Linked DNA regions of Caenorhabditis elegans. The protein of the gene in region 1 interacts with the protein of each later gene in a pairwise test. Each region holds a gene or a part of one and is shown in the gene's direction. Other genes may lie near its edges. The genes, in order: nhr-111, C04F5.8, hrpc-1 and gls-1.

The links.
Region 2: the proteins of nhr-111 (region 1) and C04F5.8 interact in a two-hybrid assay, tested with the Caenorhabditis elegans proteins (one large-scale study listed by BioGRID).
Region 3: the proteins of nhr-111 (region 1) and hrpc-1 interact in a two-hybrid assay, tested with the Caenorhabditis elegans proteins (2 studies listed by BioGRID).
Region 4: the proteins of nhr-111 (region 1) and gls-1 interact in a two-hybrid assay, tested with the Caenorhabditis elegans proteins (one large-scale study listed by BioGRID).

The regions. Positions count from the first base shown.
Region 1 is NC_003283.11:16,122,386-16,126,580, reverse strand, and holds nhr-111 (Nuclear hormone receptor family member nhr-111), read left to right. Parts: upstream 1-1,741; 5' UTR 1,742-1,799; coding exon 1,800-1,851; intron 1,852-2,259; coding exon 2,260-2,370; intron 2,371-2,412; coding exon 2,413-2,583; intron 2,584-2,779; coding exon 2,780-2,919; intron 2,920-2,974; coding exon 2,975-3,064; intron 3,065-3,105; coding exon 3,106-3,277; intron 3,278-3,326; coding exon 3,327-3,526; 3' UTR 3,527-3,686; downstream 3,687-4,195. Other genes in the region: fbxa-143 (F-box domain-containing protein), read left to right, coding at 1-464, 512-718; skr-3 (Skp1-related protein), read right to left, coding at 4,108-4,195. UniProt on the Caenorhabditis elegans protein: Orphan nuclear receptor.
Region 2 is NC_003283.11:5,110,975-5,115,430, reverse strand, and holds C04F5.8 (tRNA (guanine(46)-N(7))-methyltransferase), read left to right. Parts: upstream 1-1,676; 5' UTR 1,677-1,677; coding exon 1,678-2,007; intron 2,008-2,175; coding exon 2,176-2,423; intron 2,424-2,803; coding exon 2,804-2,891; intron 2,892-3,479; coding exon 3,480-3,842; 3' UTR 3,843-3,913; downstream 3,914-4,456. Other genes in the region: C04F5.9 (C2H2-type domain-containing protein), read left to right, coding at 256-644.
Region 3 is NC_003279.8:6,924,291-6,930,177, forward strand, and holds hrpc-1 (RRM domain-containing protein), read left to right. Parts: upstream 1-1,966; 5' UTR 1,967-2,018; coding exon 2,019-2,028; intron 2,029-2,274; coding exon 2,275-2,440; intron 2,441-2,810; coding exon 2,811-2,879; intron 2,880-3,159; coding exon 3,160-3,265; intron 3,266-3,371; coding exon 3,372-3,468; intron 3,469-3,705; coding exon 3,706-3,841; intron 3,842-4,192; coding exon 4,193-4,302; intron 4,303-4,508; coding exon 4,509-4,613; intron 4,614-4,747; coding exon 4,748-4,869; intron 4,870-5,051; coding exon 5,052-5,234; 3' UTR 5,235-5,375; downstream 5,376-5,887. Other genes in the region: C48B6.9 (uncharacterized protein), read right to left, coding at 130-320, 419-504, 560-843, 891-1,052, 1,101-1,169.
Region 4 is NC_003279.8:8,735,126-8,743,057, forward strand, and holds gls-1 (Germline survival defective-1), read left to right. Parts: upstream 1-1,946; coding exon 1,947-2,093; intron 2,094-2,142; coding exon 2,143-2,293; intron 2,294-2,995; coding exon 2,996-3,183; intron 3,184-3,281; coding exon 3,282-3,358; intron 3,359-3,410; coding exon 3,411-3,504; intron 3,505-3,551; coding exon 3,552-3,881; intron 3,882-3,978; coding exon 3,979-4,298; intron 4,299-4,346; coding exon 4,347-4,540; intron 4,541-4,625; coding exon 4,626-4,864; intron 4,865-4,912; coding exon 4,913-5,021; intron 5,022-5,066; coding exon 5,067-5,303; intron 5,304-5,433; coding exon 5,434-5,549; intron 5,550-5,592; coding exon 5,593-5,785; intron 5,786-5,835; coding exon 5,836-5,999; intron 6,000-6,063; coding exon 6,064-6,243; intron 6,244-6,290; coding exon 6,291-6,372; intron 6,373-6,423; coding exon 6,424-6,618; intron 6,619-6,679; coding exon 6,680-6,822; 3' UTR 6,823-7,423; downstream 7,424-7,932. Other genes in the region: prp-4 (Pre-mRNA processing factor 4 (PRP4)-like domain-containing protein), read right to left, coding at 1-31, 74-211, 278-430, 496-582; dhfr-1 (Putative dihydrofolate reductase), read left to right, coding at 1,097-1,231, 1,276-1,406, 1,453-1,605, 1,648-1,798. UniProt on the Caenorhabditis elegans protein: Required maternally for germline survival by forming a maternal complex with gld-3. During hermaphrodite development forms a complex with gld-3 which promotes the sperm/oocyte switch freeing the translational repressor fbf to turn off sperm promoting factors.

The DNA.
Region 1 (4,195 bases):
GACAGAAGACAAAAACAATTATTGGTGCAAAATCTGTTGATGTGGCTTTCAATGACTTTGGAATTATCATGAAGAATCCGGCACTTCGCTTGGAAAAATTTCCGATTCAGCTTTCTGTTGATGTTGAGCAAACTGGGACTTATTTTTCAACTCTTCTTGATGTTTTGAAATCCTCCATGTCTTGCCTACACGTTAAAAAGTTTCATGGGACAGATTTCTCCGAGGAGCAGCTTCTATTAGTGATCCCTTTCCTAAAAGCTGGATATCTTGAAAAAATTGAGCTGCTTTCCAATGAGCCCACAGATCTCGAGAAAATCGCTAAACTTGAGCAATGGAAAAGAGCACAAGTTTTTGATTCGTTCTGGAAGAGTTATAAGGTTTCTGTCGAGGATATGCTCCATTTCAGAGAGTTCTATGTAATTGTACCTTGCTTTTCAAAAGAGGATGCAGTAAAACTGAGAGATGTAAGTTTAAATAAAAAATCGAAAAAAAATCCAAGTATTATTTTCAGTTGCTCACAAAATCAGTGGACTTCGAGAACGGGTGCTTCAAGTTCCCCGAAACCAACATTATCGAAATAGTGAGAGTTTTCATTCTGGACTACGAAGGAGAAGAACGGGCCAAAATTGATTATAACGAGAATGGCACAGATTTTATCTTGGACTTTAGCACAGAACACTTTCGATTGACAAAAAAGAAGATTGTGGACAGTGACTGAAATTAAATTTTAAAAAATATGATTTTTTTTAAAAGTTTTTGTATTGAATAAATTTGAGACAGACCGACGGCTCGAATTTCAGGTCAAAAGTAGAATTTTGCAGTTTGCATAATTTCAGTTTTTGATCACCCCATTCAGTAGGGAGCCATAAAAAATGGAATGATGATTAATATGCTCTTCTGAAAAATTAGACTTGTGTAAACACAGTGACGGATAACGACGTACGATTCGATAAAAAGGAATAGCTGCGGGAAATGGTGAGCACATGTGTAGGCTAGGAAGCAGTAGGCATTTTTTAGATGTGTTTGGTGCGGTTCAGTCAATTTTTTGCTGGGCTTTTGTGCTTCACATTGAGAGCGTTTTGATATTTTTGACTAGAAACTGAATGTGAGAAAATACTTGTTTCCGAGTATACTAGATGCTATACATAGGTTTTACAGTTTTATATCTTTATTGCATTTAACTGAAAATGACCAAAATCTGAAAAGTACGTAATTGGAAAATGTATGTCAAATTTCAGAATTTAATTAAATATACAACTGAATCGAAATCTGAATATTCTGAAATTTTCAATGAAGATCTCAGTTTTTTTTCCACCATCTTTTGCGCTAGGTTAGCTTAAAGACATTTTTCGTTTAAAATGAAAAAGTATTTAAATGAAAAATGACATATATTACGAAAATTTCCGCTTTCAGAAAATGTGATATCATATATTTCCAGCGGACAATTTCCGCATTTCTATGACTCAACAATTTATAGTCCAAATTTTATTTCAATTCGATCATTCCCTAGTGAATGTTTGCTTCTGATTGATTTCAACTTTAAATACACAAGTGATCTGAAGTATGGTATATCTGCAAAAAATTTTAGAGAGATTGCTGCTCAACTTTTGGCACCTTTTCTCTCGTTTCTCTAACTGTCACTTTATCCTTCTTGTACTAAGCCGGCTGCCTCCAACAGGTCAAGTGGGAGGAGTCGTGATTAGAAGTTGAGCAGTAACCAAATTATTTTTATGCTATTATTGTAGATACTGACAGGATATTCTCAACTTACTCAACGAGAGAATATTTAACAAAAAAAGATGAGCAGCCAAAATGCGAAGTCAATCGGTGGCATTTTGGAAACTTCAACAGGTATGCCCCAATTTATGGGATCGAAAAATTTTTTCATGCTTTAACTAGATAATTACTCAACTCACCGAAATGTATAAATGAAAGCATTTGGTAAAATATATCAGAAAATTTTTAGAAGTCGAAAACAAACTTGCAACGTTGTTTTCTAGATTTTGGAATTTTTTTGACATTTTCGAACAGATTGATAGCAATTTTTGTACTATACTTGTTGACATCTCAAAAATGTATTCTATGTTTCCATTATTTAGATCCCAGTTACGTTATAACCTGACAGAGGTTTGCGGGCGGTAAGTAGAAAAACCAGAAGCTTACAAAACTTGACCGCACTTATCAGCTTCTCAATTTACTTAGTTCAAAAGTTTTATGACAGAAGATTTACAATCTTTCACGCATATCTATAACTTTCAGTGCCTCTGGTCATCCAACCGCAGATTGTAAATGACCCCGCGCAAAACAACATAACTCTTCCAATCACGCTTTGTGCAGTTTGTGGGGACACTTCTAACGGAAATCATTACGGTTGGAAAGAAGATTTAGAAACTAGATAACAATGAATTTTAGGTGTGCCAACCTGTTTCGGATGCAGTGGGTTCTTCAGAAGAACCGTTAGAAACAAGTTGGTACATGGATGTTGGAATGGAGACGGAAACTGTGTGATTGATAAAGCGAACCGGAACAGGTGCAAGTCCTGTCGAATTAAAAAGTGCTTCAAGAAGGGGATGAATAAGAATGGTAAGCTGCTTCTCTGAGTTTGGGCTTCAGATCATTAACTTTGTGTTTGCACCATATAGTGCGGTAGGTATTTTTCAGTGGCCGACATTTTTTTGAGTTTCGCGCCGCACCATATTAACAAAGGCCTGAGGCCGGCAGAAGCCTCCTGAAGCCGGCGAAGGCGACACAGTTTCGTCTCTAAATAATTATTTTCCAGCTGTGCAACCCGAGAGAACTTCCCATAGCTACACTGTAGAGTATGTCGAGTTGCCCTCATTCCGAGAGTATTCCAAGGGACTTCTGCCTACTCACTCTGATCGTCTCAGATTCCAACACGAACATGCTCAACATGAAATTGTTAGTTAATCAGGAGACAAACTATCAACCTGAGACACCACAAATTTAATTTCAGGACACAAGCTCCGTGCTAGTTCATCTGAAAAACGCACTCCAGTGGGTGCAACAGTTTTCGCTCTTCGCAGTGCTTTCCGATGTTGAAAAGGTCTAAATGCCAAACATAAAAGTCATTAAAAAAATTTCCAGAGCCAGATCATACTGACCCAGTGGCCACATCTTTTGTGCCTCGCGTTGTTCGAAAACTCCGAAAAAATCTTCATCGATGAAAAATTTGCACAACTGGCTGAGAAATTCAAATCCCTCGAACTTTCGGCGCAGGATTATTTCCTCTTGAAGGGAATTATTATTTTCACGGAAAGTAAGTTTAACTAGAAAAGCTGCTGAGCTTTCAGAAACTAAAATTTCAGCCAAAGATGGCACTGATCTCAAATTCGATCGCCAACTTGATATCTGTATCGGCCTTCTCAATCAGTTGCACCTGGAGTCTTCAAAGTCCAAATCTGGAAGGCTTCTATTTCTCCTCGGCGAGCTTAAATCCTATTCTACTAGACAGCTTGAATCTCTCCTGGATCTTAAAGCTTGTGAGATTGTGATTAGTTTTCTTTAAATTTTGACTATTTTTCTGATGCTGTTATATGCACACATTACCCCCATTTTGCTCACTAGTAGTGCTCAGCTTAAGCTTAGACTTAGGCTTACGGTTAAGCTTAGGCTAAGGCTTAGGCCTTGGCATAGGTCCTGGCTTAGAGATTTTCATTTAATTTGCAACTGTTTCCTCAAAAACAATGTTCAAACCCAAATTTCTTTCCTATTTTTTCTCCAGATTCCCCCAAGGCAACCAAATTTTTTAAACAATTTTCTTCTCGATCAGTTGAAATACTTCCAAAAACGTTACAACGATTTTGAACAGTTTTTTTACAAGTCAAAACAGTAGTTGGCTGCAAATTTGGCCGCCAAAGTTTTTTTTTTTTGCAAATGGTAAATTCATACACAATGAACAAACTACACAATATACAGACGTTATACATTTATTTAAATTATATTTTTTGTTGGAAGCAATGTAAAGCGTACTTGACAGACAAAGTTTTTTTTTGTTTAAAATAATTTTTGATTTTGTTTTAAGTGACATAAAAGAGGTATGTAAACCGAATCAGATAAAGTTCAAGTTAATTATGTTTACCAGGGAGCTTAATCCTCGCACCAAGCGTTTTCCTTCTTCATGGCCTCCCGTTCCTCCTCGGAAAAATCGTTCTCAATGTTGAAGAGGGTTCGGATT
Region 2 (4,456 bases), about 11 Mb from region 1:
TTTCGAGTTCCGGCAATTTTCCGATTTGCCGGAAATTTTGAATTCCAGCAGTTTGCCGACTTGCCGAAATTTTTAATTCCGGCAATTTGCCCTATTTGCCGATTTGCCGGAAATTTCAATTTCGGCAAATTGCCGATTTGCCGGAAATTTTGAATTCTGGCAAATTGCCGGTTTGCCGGAAATTTTGAATTCTGGCAAATTGCCGACATGCCGGAAATTTCAATACCGGCAATTTGAACTATTATATTTTTTCAGAAATAACATTCAAATCGTCTCGATTCCTCTATCAACACGAACAAACTGTCCATCAAAGGGAGCCCCCCGTTCATCGTAATCAACTGACAATCACTGCCACCTCACTTCTCCCATATTTCAAATTCCAAGAGGCAAAATTCTACGATTCAAGTGGACAAGAATATCGAATGGGCAAATATTTGGAGAAGAATAATGGAATAAATGTATCGAGAAATGTGAAGAAACAGAAGAACAATATTGTGACACTTCACGGAAATCTGAAACAGCATGTTCTACTCACAGATATGGAATATTCAATGTTGCGGAACCCTGATGGAAGCCTGAAAACCTTTTTTAGTGAGAATCCGAAAAAATTTGGTGATCCGCCGGTTCTGGAAAGAGAAGAATAATAATCTAACATATTCTGTCATAATTACTAAATAAAATTTTTTTTCTAAATTCTTGAACTAAAATATTTTTATTTTCGTGTCTCTTATCCGATCACAATTATTATTTTTTCTATTTTTTAATAGTTTTTTTACTCGAAACGACAAAAAATAGTTTAAAAAATGTAAGAATTTCCCTAAAATTTCAGCGATTTTTTCCAATTTTGCAGACCAAAAATAGGCATTTTCCGGATATTTTCATTGTTTTTTTTCTTTTCTTTTGTCCTGAAAAAAGTTTAATTATCGATTTTTAGAACAAATTTATAGTTTTTTACGATTAAAAAAAACCATAAATTTCGCCTAAAAATCTATTTTTAAACTTTTTTTGACAAACAATGTTCAAAATTACAAAAACAATGAAAAAATGAGAAAAAAATTAATAAAAATATCCAGAAAATAGCCCTTTTTTAAAATTTTTTAGTTTGCAGGAATGGAAAAAAAATCACAAAAAATTTAGAAAATAATAATTTGGCTCTTACGAATTTTTTTTTCAAAATTAAGAAAAAATCAGAAAATTCAAAAATTGTTTCTTTTGAAATCGAGTTGCAATCGCGCTTCAACGCTAATTGAAAACGCTTCGCTCCGAGCTTTAGATCACTTTTTTATTATGAGAACACAAATTTCTGAGAATGCGTATTTGCACAGAATGCGTATTATTTGACGCGCAAAATATCTCGTAGCGAAAATTACAGTAATTCTTTAAACGACTACTGTAGTGCTTGTGTCGATTTACGGGATCTCGATTTTTTTCGGAATGAATTCCCAGGGTGAAATTCAATTTTTCATTGCTTTTCCGAATGATTTCTCATATTTTGCTTACTATTAATCTAGCCCGTAAATCGATACAAGCGCTACAGTAACCCATCCAAAGAATTACTGTAGTTTTCGCTACGAGATATTTCGCGCGTCAAATACGTTGTGCAATACGCATTCTCAGAATTCTGTGTTTCCGTAATAAATACAATTTTCAAAATTTAAATTTCCGTTTTTTTTCAGAATGGCTTCAAAAGAGCCAGATGGCTCGAAAGCTCGTGAAACCAGAGAAGCCAAAGAATCAATTCGTCAGCTTCTCTCGAAACTCGAAATAGATCAAGTTATTGAGGTTAAGGATTGGTTGGCCAAATACGTGGAGAGCACACCATCGAGCGAAATTACATTTAATTATGAAAATGAGCAAAAAAAGAAAATGATGGACAGAGGAGCACGGAAACTTGACAGAATAGCGGCCTATTTGAGAGATAAAGCTGTCGATGTTCCGTCGAAAGCTCCGAGCAAGTTGAGATGGCCTACTGAAGGATTTGATAGCGATTGTACTGAGCTGAATACGGTGAATTCTCGAAAAAATAAACTTTATTGAAACAAAAAACCAACAAAAAAGCAGTGAAAAAACCGTGCCGCAGGGTTGCAAATTTATGATCCGCCTCTATTTTTTTGCTTTTTTTACAAATTCACGGATTGAACATTTAATTTCAAACAATAAAAGTTATTTTTCCAGTGCGAAGTCGACTCATTTCTCTATGAAGATGATGACGTGGAAGAGTTGGTGGAACGAGATGAGCTCAGCCGTACGTACTGTCCGGTTTGCAGTTCGAGGGATACTGTACCTCTAAACTTCATTAGTCACAGTTTGAGCCGTCTTCAAGTCAAATTCCTTTTTGATCTACTTATGCCGCCAACATGCCAACACGTACTGGACATTGGGAGCAGATTAGGAGCTATTGTTTATGGAGCATCGATTTTTACGTGAGCATTGTGGAAAATAATTGATATTACAGGAACACAAAATTTTGAGAATGCGTATTGAGCAACGTATTTGACGCGCAAAATATCTCGAAGCGAAAACTACTGTAATTCTTTAAATGAGTACTGTAGCGCTCGTGTCGATTTACGGGCTTGGTTTTCGAAATGATTTATTCATTTATTTATTAAAATTTTGCAAGGAAAATTAAAAATCGTTGTCGATAATATTTCGAAAATCGAGATCCCGTAAATCGACACAAGCTCTACAGTAATCATTTAAAGAATTACTGTAGTTTTCGCGACGAGATATTTTGCGCGTCAAATATGTTGTATTGTGATCCCGTAATATTTAAATTTGAAGAAACATCCATTTTTTTTTTTAGAAACGGAAATGTGAGCACAATCGGCGTTGAAATGGACTCGGACTATGCTGCTCTCGCGTTACGGACTATTCGTCAATTCGGATTAAAGGTTTAGTTTTATGCAATAAAAGTAAAATTTTTGCCAACAATACGGTAACAGGTCTCGACACGACAATTTTTTGTGAATTGCAAAAAGGTGTGCGCCTTTAATGAGTACTGTAATTTTGAATTTTCATCGATTTTTCACAACTTTTCGATATAAATATAGTTATGTATTTTTTAAATTCAGAAAAAACAATAAAAATGCAAGAAAAACTTCGAAAAATCAATAAAAACTCCGCAGAAACAAGATTTAGAAACTACATTACTCTTTAAAGGCGCACACCTTATTTATTTTACAAAAAAATGTTCGTGTCGAGACCAGATATTGTGTTTTTCACACTTTCTCTGTGCACTTCAGAATGTGAAATTTAACAGCATAAAATTAACAAATCGATTTTATTTAAATCTATAAAATTTGACCCCTTCAGCGACCAATTTGACTGTGATCGTGGCGAGACCCGCGCGGAAAACAGCGAGTGCCTTCAAACTAGCAGGTCAAAATTTAACGAAATTACGAAATATTTTTTGAGAAGCTTTCGAAAATTTTAAAGTGGAAATTTGTCAAATCCTCTAAACTTACAATTATTTTTTCCAGAACATTGAAATCCTGCGCGACGATATCCGCCACCTCGCCCACGTCTTCAAGGATAATCAATTCATCGTGATGAACAATGTCTTCTCGTTCTTCCTATCAAAAACCGAACAAGAAGAGTGCTGGGAGTTCCTACATACTCATATGCGCCCTGGAACAGTACTCGCTCATCATCCACCAATCGAAAAAATCACGGAACACTTGGATCTCTCATTCGACATTGAGGACTGGCTTGAATTTGTGAATACCACAACTGAATGTCTCGAATATGGAGCCAATGATTCGGAAATCTATGAGGAAATGGCATCGATTTGCAAGTATATTGTACGGGATTCGAGAGCTCACGGGGACTCGGTTCCAGAGTGATTTTTGTTGTTCGCCAATTTTATGATTGTTTCTTGTTGTTAAGTTTTCTAAAAAATAAATTCTTTGATTTTAATAAATTTCGAAAATTCAAATATTATGGGGACGCCGAGGGAATCAGGGTGCAAAGGCGCTCTAACGCCAAATGACAACCGAGCATTGGGTCTCGTTAGGAAATGGCGGCAAACGAGACATTTAAATTTTTTATTACGGGAACACAAAATTCTAATAATGCGTATTGCACAATATATCTTACGCGCTAAGTATCTCGTAGCGAAAACTACAGTAATTTTTTAATGACTACGCTTGTGTCGATTTACGAGCTCGATTTTAGAGATGAATTTATTTTCGAATAGTGTCAGCGATATTTCGCTTTAATTTCGAATCGAGCCCGTAAATCGACACAAACGCTACAGTAGTCATTTAAAGAAATTACTGTAGTTTTCGCTACGAGATATTTTGTGCGTCAAATATGATGCGCAATACGCAGTCTCAGAACTTTGTGTTCCCATAATAAAAAGTGAGAGTTTTCATGCGCCCTTGGAGCGCTACTGCACCTCAATTTCAAAAAACGCATTTTTCTGCGTCCCCATAATACACCGGGATTTTCTTTTCTC
Region 3 (5,887 bases), on another chromosome or scaffold:
TAAGAATTCATTATTAGTCTTATGTGTATGAAATAAATCAGATCATTGGTGTCAATTTTGAGAAACTTTGCGTGATGAAAAAGCTCAATATAGAAGTGGGTAGAATAACAAGCTATAAAAATAATACATTCAGACCAGTGTGCTTAGGTAATTGTAACAATCCTCGCGGTAGACGTGCCCACAAGAATGATTTGCCCAGAAATAGAGGGTTTTCACGGCGAAGCAAGTGGCAAGAAAGACGGCGGAAGATCCTAAAGTAATCGATACACATTTTGAGGCCAAACTTCGCGATGGGTCAATTGAGACTGTGAGCATTAGCACTGAAAATATTAGAATTGCAGAGTTGTTTCTTGTATTCTAGCGAATTCATTCTTTTGAATTTTTATAATCGCGTATGAATAGTATTTAAGAAACTCACCGATCACGAAGACTATTATTGATGCGAACCAAAACGAGAATGCCACAATTCTTAAAAAGCTGGTTGATTTGATGTATCGAAGTGCCCTGTAATGTTAAAATGTTCAAGCTATTTAATGTGAAACTTTTGAAAAGCACTAACACATCAATATCATCCGGTTGTTGTGTCTGTTTTACTATCTTCATCAGGAATAGTAATTGAAGAGCAGACACAAAGAATGCCAGAATCGACAGAATCACGATTGCCACGTCGAATGAGGCGATGACATCCCGAATGACATCGATTACTCCTCGATATGCCGATGCCGGTGATTTTGCGGTGCGAAGAAATCGTTCGGCATTTGAAAAGTGGAATTGTAGAGCAACAACGGTGAATAATGCCGAGCAAACTGACATGAAGAGGAGGAGAAGCATATTCCAGTGAACCTAAACACAATTTCATGCATAGAAAGATTGAAAAAAACTTTTCTTACCGTTTTTCGGTCCATTACTCGGTTTTCGCTGTTCAAATCGAGAACTGATGGGTGACTATCGCTAACTTGTCCCCCAGCTCCGCTATATGTTCCAGTAGTTCCAATTCCCTTCCCACCACCACATGATACTGAATATCTCATCGATATTGGCGAGTTTTGAGCCTAAAAATAAATTATAAAGTATGAGAAAAATTCCGATTTAAAAATTACCATAAGGGATTCGTGATTTAATGTGGTCGGTATGTGGAACCCACGTCTGGGTGTTGAAGATGTAACCATTTCTAAAAAAACAAGTATTGTGGCCGGAAAAAAAGCAATCTAACTTTTTTTGCCAAGCTCGAGATAACGACAAAAAACGTTTCTTTTTAACAACGAAAAGTTTTTTATTACAAAGGCACACAGAGGGAGCAATCAGTGTTCGCCGAATGCACCAATCGGACCACTGAAGAATGAGCCGCATAAGTTTTTGTGTAAGGATGCGAACGGGGAGAGATTCTCGAAAGAGTCTATCACCAGGTGGTGGCATTTGAAAAAGATACAAGAAGAGATCATAATGAGATGCAATATGCCGAAACGCTAGGAAAGAAATACCAATTTTTTAAAGATTAATTTGGTTTTTTCGAGGAAACAAGAAAAATTGGCGAATAAAAACTGAAATTCGAAATGTCGTGATATTCAGTGCCTCTAGTGCATGCAGAATCAAAAATTTTAAACAATTTTGTTGTACATTGTACAATTTTTGTTTCAGCCCACAAAATAAATTTAAAAATAGAAATACCTTTTCAATATTGGTTCTGAAAATTTTATTTACACTTATTTTTAAAAACCCCTCAAGGTGGGATTCTGTTTTAGGAAAAAAACAAAAAATTTACTGCATTAGGAATGAACATACCCTGTCTGCGCATTATGATTGATTTTCTCTTCCCATTATTCTCATTTTCAAACCATTGTCACCTCTTCCCACTCTGAACCACTCATGCGATCGATAATCTTTTCCAATTATGTTATGTTCGTGTTTTAACCGTTATGTTCAAACTTTGCTCAATTTTCTCAATTATTTAAATTTTTAGTGAAGATTTTCAGTGATAAACGTCATTCATCCCGAACACTTCAGAGAATCAATGGAAAATGAGTGCTGGTTAGTGTTTTTAATGCAAAATGAGAAATAAACTAGAGAATAAGTAGGCAACTTCGGCAGCGGAATTGGAGTTGTTTAGAAATTTTTGGGAAAAGCGATACCGATGTAATATGATATTCTATTAAATAACTGCCAGATAGTCGAGTGATGTTAAAATTTGATTTGATTAATAATTAATTCTAGAATAGAATATCAGAAATTACATTGTCCTTTTAAAAATCTTGAAAAACCAATTAAAACATTCAGAATACGGTCAGTACGGATACTATGGAGGTGCTGGAGGTGCCCAGACAACAACAACTCCTGCTGCCGCATTGGCTGCATCAATACCCGCAACTTCAGTTTACGGAGAGCAAAGACCAACATTCTCAGAAGATGGAACTGGTGCTCCATACAGCACTATTCTTAATCTGTTAGTTTTCTTTTTAATACATTAAAATTCGTTTCAAAACTGTCTTGTTTAAAATTAATTGGATTAGCCGAATCACGTTAAGTAAACTTACTTAAGATTTAAGAAGAACTAAATGAGATGCAAGACCGGGACCGAAAAACAAAAATTTGAAATTTGTAAAAAAACACCGAATTTCGATTTATTTGGAACTTTTTAGAAAAAAATTATTGAAAACCATGAAAAACCACATTTTGCTAAAGCATATTTGTAAAATATGAAAATTGTTTGAAGTACGTAAAGGGTTTTTTGGTTTAAAAAAAACCAAAAAATAGATTTTTCGTTAAAAACAAAAAAAAATCAGCTTCGTCAGCGTAATCCTAAAAACTTTCAGAGTTGGAAGCGCAGCGGTAAACAGCGATATCAGTTATGATACATCATCTAAGGATCCTCATATGATCAGGTACGAAAATAAATGTTTTGAACGTAAATTTGATAAATGAAATAAGAAAATGAGAGAAAAGAACGGAAAAAATGCAAGAAAGGTCGTGGGAAAGTAAACATTTTTGAAGCAAAAGACCGACACAAAGTGACCATGAAAGAGTAAAGAGAATAGAGAGAAAATGGGGATTTATTCATTTTCCAGAGTAAACATAACTGCACACAAAGTTAAAGAATATGTTATATAAATTATCGAACGAAAAATCGTGTATCGTTTTAGTTTTTATAATGATTTTTTACAGAGCTCGTGTTTTCATTGGAAACATTGCCCGTGCTATTATCACGCGTGACGATATCATCGAACTGTTCCGTCCATTTGGAAAAATAATTGCTGTTAATTATTTTGCTGTAAGTTAATTCCTGAATATTCAATAGCCACCGCAAAGTCCGAGTTTATTGATGACATAACTTTGAATTCACTTTTTTGCCGGAAAATAAATTCCTGATTTTTCAGCAACAAGGTTTCGGATTTGTTCAATTCAATGAAGCTGGTAGTGCCGACGAGTCATGCCGTTCACTCAATGGGATGTCATGGAAAGCTTGTTGTCTTGGTAAGGACCTGAATCTGAATATAATTTTTCTCCAAATGCAACCAAAATTAAAAATCGGCGAATTTTGCAGCTCAAATAGCTTCTCGTCTGAAAGCTTTTTATTTCAACTTTTTTCATAATTTCTTTTACCTTTTCTTATTTTCGGTTTTCATTAGAAACATTTTCGAAGTTACTTTTTATTCGATTTATACAGTTTTTAAAATTTGTTTATTTTTATTTATGTGTCCCCGATTTCAGATGTTCATTTGGCAATGTTGGGCTCATTGAGAAAGCCAACTGGAAACGAGGGTCGCCAAGGAAATACTATTGCTCCGGCCCCACTTCCTGTTGGGAAACCGTTGACACAACATGCTGTCGATACTTCCGCGCAAAGGTTCATCATTTTGGGTTTTTTATTCTTTTTATTTTTCATTTCGAAATAGTTTTGAGGATTATGGTTTTTAAAAGTTATAGCGAATTATTTCATTTTTTCTCCTTTCATTATATTTTCCTTCTAAAGAAAAACGTTATAATGCGATGGCGTTTCACTCTTTGTGTAAGTTGGATTGTTACTGCGGTGTGCTCAGTTTTCAAAAAAAAAAAATTCGAATTTCGAGGACAAACTCGAACTTTGGATAAATCATGAAATTTGAAAAGGGAAAGCGATTTTCGCTGAACGTTGAAACCATTTAATACGGTTCTTTCATACCCCTGGTACCAACAATATTAATTTTTGTATTTTCAGCGCCAAACGCCCCTATGAAGACGAGGAGTACGAGATCTTCAAGCAGAACAAAAGAAATAAGCAGTTTGCAAATGGAGATACAACTATCAATGAGCAGTTGGCACCGAATGGTGAGAGTTTAAAACTTAAAAAATTTATTGGGTTTGGAAACATTGGTTTCAAATTTTTCAACAAGTTTTTGATGAAATTATATATTTTTCTGTTGATTGAATCAAAAAATCAAAGTATCCGCCAAAACCAGAGAAATTAAATTCATATTTAAAATTGATATTTTTTCCAGTAAGAAACGAATAGGTTAAACATTTTTAATTTACAGAAATGTGCGACACAATGGTGTGTGGATATTGCCGTTTCGTGACAAGTGATTTTGAAGAGTTCAAGGAACATCGAATCGCTGGCTGTAATAAATACAAGGATCCAGGTGGGATTTAATTTCATACTGTTTCATTTGTTAACTTGATACTTAAAAAAACGTTGTATATAGATTGAAGTATGAAATTCAATTCTTAGTTATCTCTCTACTTGAATACTTCATCTCAATAATTTGTTTTCCAGAAGAACCACGACATCGTCTCAAATGTGCCACTTGTAGTCAGAGATTCCTCGGCGCGTGGGGACTTCTCGAACATTTAACCGATTTTCATCGTATGCTGCTCTATACTGAAGAGAAGATGACGGTATGTTTAGAGTTTTAAGAATAACTATATCATGTGAATATGTGAACGTTATGAGCAACCAAATAGTGGAGGATAAATTTTTATATTTTTGGACAGATAATTTAGAACTTTTTTCTATGAACAGTTTGTATGAAAAACATAAGAATGTGTTCATAAATCGATTTTAATTAACAAATTTTCAGCCAAATGATCTTGCTCAAATGCGTGGTGGATCCGTTTCAACGCCATCTTCGATTCCAGAAACTCCAGCTTCTGGTTCTGCGGCTCCTGCTGCTCCAAATTCAGCCAACTCCACACCATCTCACCATATCGTCGAAGGCGCGCCATTGTCCTACTCGTCGAATAATGGAACTCCCCAAATCTAAATATTTTTGCTAAATCCTGTTGAAATCATACCTGAATCTCAATTTTCCCATTTATCTATCTACTACTTTTTTGTTGTAAACGCTTATACATTTTTGTGAACTTTTATTTATCAATCTCTGAAGTTTTATTTTTGCTTTAAACAGACACTAGAAAGTTTGAATACGCAGGTAGCACAAGCTCCTATTACCTTGTTCAATTTTTTAAAAGTCATCTGATTTAATTTTTTAACAATTATTCAAGAAAGTGTTTACAATCAAACTGTGGAAAGCTAAATTTATTTAGAATCTCCTTGAAGTTTGTGCAAACCCTAAAAGAAAACGCTTTTCTTTTAAAATGAGCTTCTTACATAGTTCTTCAAGTTAACATTAATACTGTTTCGTAATTGATGCTTCGTTGTCTCTCACAGATGGGTCAATGTTTTAATGTATCATCGATGACACAGCTTTCCGTCTCTGTCACCTAAATAAAAACCATCGAATCAAAAGAACCGGTTGATGGGTTTCAATGTCCCCCATCACTACTGACTAACCACAACAAATACGATTTGATTCGTCGGTTTGAGAAATATATTTATTTTTTTCCGTTATACCCAATTCCCTTGGTTTGCTCACTAGCATAATATGAAAATATTTTTCTGACGAACCCCCAAAAA
Region 4 (7,932 bases), on another chromosome or scaffold:
CGGTTTCTTCGTCTGCTTTATCAGCATTCACCTTCAAATTTTTAAATAATTTTTCAAACATTGAAAAACTTACTTCATCAGTATGCAAAACGGCTGCAATTTCATCTTCAGACATTGTTGAAAGTAGAGCTCTAAGTCTTTCTCTTCTATCCAATGCATCTTCTCCGAACAAACAAATTGGTTGGTTTAGAGCACGAAGTTTCAGTTTTACCTTTAAAATATATCTTCAAGTGGGTAGTTATTAAAAAAATTTTATTCATATGTATCAAAACTGTACCTGAACATCATCTGTTGGCAATGTGAGAGTTCTTGCTCTCCGTCTTCTATCAAATTCTGCAAACATTTCAGCATCGTGGCGTGAATCTGCTTGATTTGATACTTCCATTCGTTCCAAAGACACTGTGGGTCCATGGTTTTGCTGTTGTGCATTCTGAAATTTTAAATTAAAATTCAGAAAAAATAACATAGTCAAAGAATTCATGAAAAAAAACATACCAAGATTGCATTCACGCTTTCTGCATTCGCCAGTGATCCAAACTGTCTTGGCGGTGCTGGAACAGCAAAATTGCCATTTTCAGCCATTTTGTGTGCTCTTAAAAAATTTAATTACTTTAAAAACCACTGTAAAGAATATGAAGTTATATATTAGGACATTCAGAACGAAGATGTGAGACATAGGAATGGGCTTGTAGTTTTATTATAATTTATTATATTTAGTTGTGAAGTTTAAAACATTTTAAAGTGAACAAAGGAAAGAAAATGGCATAAAAGTTCAAAAAAAGCGGTGAAAATTCTTCGAAAGTGGGAACCAGTAATCGCGCTCTAATGATAATTTGAAGAAATCTGAGGTTCTCTCACTTCTTCTCGATTCATTTTCACCCTCATTTTTTTTTGATTATCTATTTTTATTGATTTTCCCACGATTCATTATCTTTATCTTCGAAATCTGTATTGTTTGAAGATTTCAGTCGATACGAAGTCGAATGGAAGCGTATTTCAAATGTGCTTCGTTTTGCTGTGCAAAGTTCTCATTACCCGTTTTTAAAATTTTCTCTGGTATCTCAATCGAGTTATTTTCTATTTCTAGGCATTAAAAATGAGAAAAATGAACTTAATAGTGGCTATGGATGCCGAAGGAGGAATTGGCAAAAATGGCGTGTTGCCATGGCGAATCAAGAAAGACATGCAGTATTTCGCGTCTGTTACCAAAAATGTTTCTGATCAGTCGAAGGTTGTTCGAGATTTCTAACTAAACTTGTAACATAACTTTTGTAGAGAAATGCAGTTCTCATGGGACGAAAATGCTGGGAAAGCATTCCAGTAACTCGCCGCCCGTTGGCAGGACGGCTAAACATTGTTTTGAGCCGACAACTTCCTGCGCAAAAGTCCGATGACTACATTGTTGTGTAAGCTGTCATGAAATAATATTTAACCTGTTGTTGTTACATTCAGAAACTCGCTCGAAGCGGCTATGAAACTACTTTCGGAGCCACCATTTGTGGATTCGATCGAAACAATCTGGAATATCGGTGGAGCTGAAATCTATGATCTTGCGTTGCGAGAAAACTTGGTTGATGAAATTCACTTGACACGTATTTTCAAAAAGTAGGGTGCTTGCACAGTTTTTTTACTCTGTCGTAATTTCAGCTTCGAAGCCGATGTTCATCTCAAGTCACTCGATTTCAGTAAAATGGAGAAAGTTCAAAATGCCGAGGTGTCATCGGAAAATTCAGAAATTTTCGAAGAAAATGGATTAAAGTTCGAATTTTGCAAATGGAAGGTTGTCGAGAACCACTGAATTTTTTTTTGAAATTGCTGTTTATTTTTTTAATTTATATGTATTCATTCACCTGTTGTTTACTCGGGCAGCCCACAATTTTCACGTGTAAATATAAAATCTGTACATGATTCTTATTACTATTAACTTTTTGTAATTCATCGTAAGTATGCGATGTTTGATATCTTATTTATTTCATTCCTTCCTTATTTTTTTAAAATTTATCCGTTCAGACGTCACAGCTTTAACTCTTCAAGAAAAGCGTAAGAAGTCTCGGTTAACTGGTATTTTGATGAAAAGTATGGCCAATAAAAAGGTGTGTTGATAAAGATAGTGAAATTCGACATATTTTTCCCTAGTTTCAGAACCATCAGCAAAAGAAAAGTACAGACGGGTCAACGATGAACGGGAATAACGCAACAGCAACTGCCGCTGCAACAACTCAGAATTCATCACAAATTGGACAAAATTCCAATTCCAGTCATAGCGTCACCAACGATAACACTTCCAGCAATAGTACGTATACACGTTTCTCACAAATCTGTTTTGAAATAACAAGGACGGCTGTTCCTAAATAGGTTTTAGAATTTTCTTGCAGCAATTGCAAATTAATTCAAAATTTTGTGTCTTAATTTCCAATGGTTCATTTAAATCGAGATTTTGGAGACCTTGGTCTTCACAATCTGTGCTTAAAAAATGACCCCGAAGAAAAGAAAGAAAGTGAATAGACGAGTACAGAACCGAGGAGGGCAAACATATATAATAAAAATAAAAAAGAGAAAGAGGCCACCAACACAGGCACGATGCCCCTTTTCCATCTCTTCCTCTTCTCTTTTCAATAAGCATCAAGGTGCGAAAGTCGATTTATTTATTATAACCCAAACTATTACATTTGATTTCCCTATTGATGTGATGAGTGATAAGCAATGACTTTTCTAGCATCTAAATTTTAACAATTAGATTGGAACGTCTATATTAATCATTTCATATTTATTGATTTAATTTTAGAATTTGATTTATATATATATATATATATATATATATTCAATGTCCTATTATTTCTATGTATTCTCTTCTGATTTTGGAATACTTCAACAAAATTCTCAAGAAAACGTTAAAATGAAACATAAAGGGTCTCTAAAATGCGGTAAGCAACAATGTAAATTTAAAGAAAATTCAACTCTCAAGATTCATAGAATTTATTTATATTCATTTCAGACGCTTCGACGTCTACATCGTCCATCACCTCAACTACCACTACGACCACTACAGTACCTTCTTCACAGCAGAGTCAATCTCAAAATCAATATTCACATCAAAGACTTTCATCGACTTCTTCAACGTCACAGCAAACTGGAATTTCTAAATTTCCTGCCAAAAAGGCTGGGCACAACGAGCTTGAGAAGGTAAGTAGGCGAAGATAAATTCGACTGAGTCTATCGTGCATAATTATTTCATATTTTAAAACACATGTTTTCTCAACCTGTTTATGATTCACTTGCAGACAAGCAACACTGCTAATTCACAATCGGGTGCTTTCAAAGGAACCACAAATAAAGATCGGCCGAAGGAAAAGGAGAAGTAATTAAATCAGTAACTAGTTAAAACAAATCCTTAGCTTTTGCTCGTTCAGAAACACTCACAGTGGTAATAGGCAAAGTCAGGTTAACCATAATCATCATCATTCAAACCATGTTAGCGGAAATCAGCAGAACCGAAAGAATAAGGTTTGTATAAACGTATAATTACGATAAAAATTAATTTTAATGTTAAGAATCGTGATCATTCGAACCAAAGTTATCGAGGTGGCTACACACATAACCACAATAATTATCACTCGTTGGAAAATGCTAAATCTTCTGGATTTCTGTCAAATTCTTCCCTATCCTCTGCGGGACAAATATCAGCGTCTTCTGCTCCTCCAGTGAGCACAACTCCGACTGCTATTCCCATCTTTCAAGAATCCAAAATAGTTCAAACAGATCCACCAGTCGAAGAAGCAAAAAAGAAGAAGGAAAAACCAAAAATCAAGCGTGATGAAGAGCCGATGCCATATAAGAGCACTGATCCGAAAAATATGGATTCTGTGATGGCATTCAAAGAGGTGATTCATAAATACAAGACATTTTAGTATTTATCATTTTTATTCAAACAAAATTTTTAAAAAGTTATTAGTTTTCAAAACGTAGTTTGGATTGCAGCACGATGAATGGGATAAGGTGGAGTTTATGTGTGAACTTGTTTCTTTCCTGTCTCCAACCGATCTTCGCCTGCTTGGAAATTGTATCGAAGGATCTGTTCGTTGCTATAACAATCAAATGCGGCCAGTAGAAAAGACTTCAAACTGTTCGGATCCAACAGCTGGTTTACCTCAATTCGTTTGCTCTCCTCCACCTCCACCGCAACAAGTTTATTATTTTCCTGGTATTGCGGATGCTGCCCTGTATCAAACAAGAAATGCAGTTAACTCGGTTTTTGTACAGCAACATCCACCTGGTCTTCCACCGTTATTAGGCGGAATGTATGCATTATTGTCGGTGAATTATAATTTAAAAATTTTTTATTTCAGGCAGAATATTATGTATCCACCTGATGCTAACTTTCATCATTCAACCTCTTGTACGACACCTTCATCATCAGTTTCCGTTGCAAATAAGGATGTTAACAATGTACCAGTTGTGCTATCAAGTAGTGTGAACGGAATAAGCAATAATATTCCATCAGATAGACAACAGCTAGATTCCAAACCAAATACTGCAAGAGGTAAAAAATCTTCATCATTATTTGACACAGTTAAAAAATGTATTTTACAACACAATTTCCCTCTCAAATTCGCAACATTTTTCAGGTTCGAGCGGCAATATCAACCAATCTAATACAACATCACCAGAACCGGAGCCCGGTTCTAATCACATCTCCACCACAGCAGCAAACCCTGCACATCCAACTTCAGTGACTGTACCACAGTCGGTACCACCGGTCCCTCAAGAACCAGAATTGTTTCTCAAATCTGTTCTCGATCTTACCAGTTACATATACACTCTCATGGCAGTTTGTTCATCAACAAATAGAAAATCAGCTGCTAAGGTGAATCAGAATACGACTTTAGATGGTATTTAATCGATTTATTTAAAGATCTCTGACTATGTTCAAAATGTTATTCTGAGAGAAAAGAGCCAAATACTCGAACGTATTCCGGATGAACTTGATAAAATTACCGTTTTACAAGAAATCGGTAAAATTGGTAAGTCTTCATTTCCGTGTTTTGGAGTATACTTTTTTGTTTCAGTCGCAGCCATGACTCATCACCCAGCAATTACTCTTGATGACAAAATGAAATATGCGGCTCTGCGGGACGGATTACGTGCTCAAATAGAAACATTGTTTAGACAATACTACACAACTCAGAAACAGTTGGAGCAAAGCAATCTTGTTGTACCATCATCACAAGCTGTTGGCGATGAGAATGATACTGATTCCGACCATGAATCAGAGGAAGAATTTGAGCCACTATCAGGTGTTATGGGTAAGCAATTAATTAATATTTAACAGAATTTTTCACATGCATTTCTAGAAATTTTTCGATAATTAGTCGATGAATTGAGTTCGGAACATTCCAACTAAATCACTGATAACATTCCGCATCTTTTTTTCAGGTTCGCGTTTCGAGAGTAATCCAGTTCAGCCGTCGCCATCAGTTCCGGGAACATTCTTTATCATTCGATTTATTGGACGACAAATTGAGAAGAACGATAATCTTTTCAGCCTGGAGGTAACACGCAACCTGAAGTTTCTGAAATCATAAAGGTTTTCAGATTCATTGGAGTGATGGTGACAGAACATTTGCTCAAAGATCTCGTGATCAATTGAAAGCTCTACAGCATCGTCTTCTTGATGAGTTCGGACAACAGAGAAGTGAAAAATATCTTCATCAAGGATGCACTACATCCTACTCTTCATTTGACGATGATAACAAAAAGCTTTCAGCGAGCACATCTACAATGGAGAGTATGTATTTTCAATTTATAGTCTCTAATTTACAATTTTTATTTTTGCAGCGTTTGCTCCAAACGGAGAGCGTATTGTTCCACGTCTTGCTCGTGATGCGACTCCAGCTCAATATGTTCAATACATCAATGAACTTTCTGACTTGCCAGCTAGAATGATGCTGTCAGCTGTAATATGTGAAGAGTTCAACGGTACCAGAGCGAAAACAGAAGATGTTAGTTTCTGATACTGTTCATTTCTAGATTGATTGAAAAGAACGAATCTATTCCGAAATAAAGCTATTGCAGGAAACTCGCGAAGCATCGGATGGATTAATATATTCTCGATGGAAGAATCCACGTGCCAAATCTCCAGTTCGTTACTTCAAACGAAATGCAACAGGAAGCATTGACCCGATTGAATTGCCTGTCAATATGCAACCATTCCTTTATTCAAATATCCCGCAAACACAAGTGCAGGTTTGATTTCGAATTTTCGTAAAATCTGAGAAATTTTCAATTTCTAGACGCTGTTCCCAAGTTGCTCTAATTGTGGCGGTCCTCACGCTCCGAAACACTGTGAAAAACAAACATTGTTATCGAAGAAAGGCATGTACAAGTTGAATTAGATGGCAATAATGAGAATAATCAATTATTAAGGTGATCATAGAACTCGTTCAGACGGGGAAGGTTCTCAGCAAAATGGTGGAACTTCCTCTTCCAATTCATACGCTCCAATTCATGCAAACCTCCCCCATGCAGTATACATTGAAAATCCGCAAGCAATGTTAGGATCAAATCACTTCAATCATCATCAACAACAGCACATAATTCAGAATACTATATTCCATAATGGTATGTATTAAACTTTTAAAAATTAGAATAATTGATTCAACATGACACAATAATTTCTCAGGTGGACAATTTCGTGCAAACGGAACATATGAACCGCAAATTCCGATAGCATACTATCATGCCCAGGGAACTGTACAAAACTCAAATAATACTGGTGGAGTCAACGGAAACAGTGGGGGCGGGAACCAGAATTCGAATTTCTGAGAGATGCTGAATTGCTGCTCCTTTTTATATCAATTCTTGTGATTTCGTAATAGTTTTCTTCTTTTTTTGTTCTTTCTTTCACCCAATTTTTTTTTCATTGTTTATGTTTAACGCTCACACATTTTAATTTTCATCGACACGTGTATTATTGAATTTCTCTGATCCATCACATCCCGATTGCCATCATCATCCTTAAAGCGACATTTTCTCGTTAGGTACGTACACGTGGTACAACTTCGTTTAAACTATAACAAATTATCACTGAAGTCTCGAAAAACGTTCTCTTTCTCTTCATAATTCACAAGCCAAGACCACCTGATTAGTTTTATTCAATTTTTTCTGTTTTCTATATTTCAAAATGCTGGTCATTTCTCTCTTTCGTTTAGGTATTCACTTTTTTAATTTATACATATTTTTGTTTATATATACATATATCTTTTTGACCACCCCGTCTTCCACCTTCAAGAATAATATCGTTGATTTCTTGTTTTTTTTGTAACCCTATCTCTCTCTCCCTCTCTCTTCCCTCTAAATTTTCTTTCATTTTCCCAATTATTTTAATTGTTTCTTAGGTGCGAAATGAACGGTGGAACTAAAAAAATATTTACAAAACTTTATGCTGATAGAGGAGAAAAACACAACATTTGGGATACAAAAAATTCGAGAATCGCTTCGTGAAATGATGACTCACACTAACATAAAATTTTACACATTTTTAAAAATGAAATACAAATGAAATAATTGAACAGTTTTTAAAGTATGCGACAACTAAGAAAATGCATTTGGAATTAATTATAATCGGGATTTTACAAATTGAAACCACGGAATGAATTATTAAAATCACCACTTTCGAAGATTATTTAGAAATGGAGTAAGTTGTTTCAGAAAAAAAAATGAATGGACCTTGTTACGTCATGTTCCCGATGGACACTTTTCTAGAATCGATTGAAAACTGAAAATGGCAGGAAATGACAATTTTGGATGAGGGTTCGGGAAGTAAAGGTAAAAAAAGAAAAATCAGATGATCCTGAGGATGAAAAGGCTTGATGAACAATTGGAAAATAGGCAAATTTCAGAAAGTTACAGACAAATTTGAATATATTGCAAAGC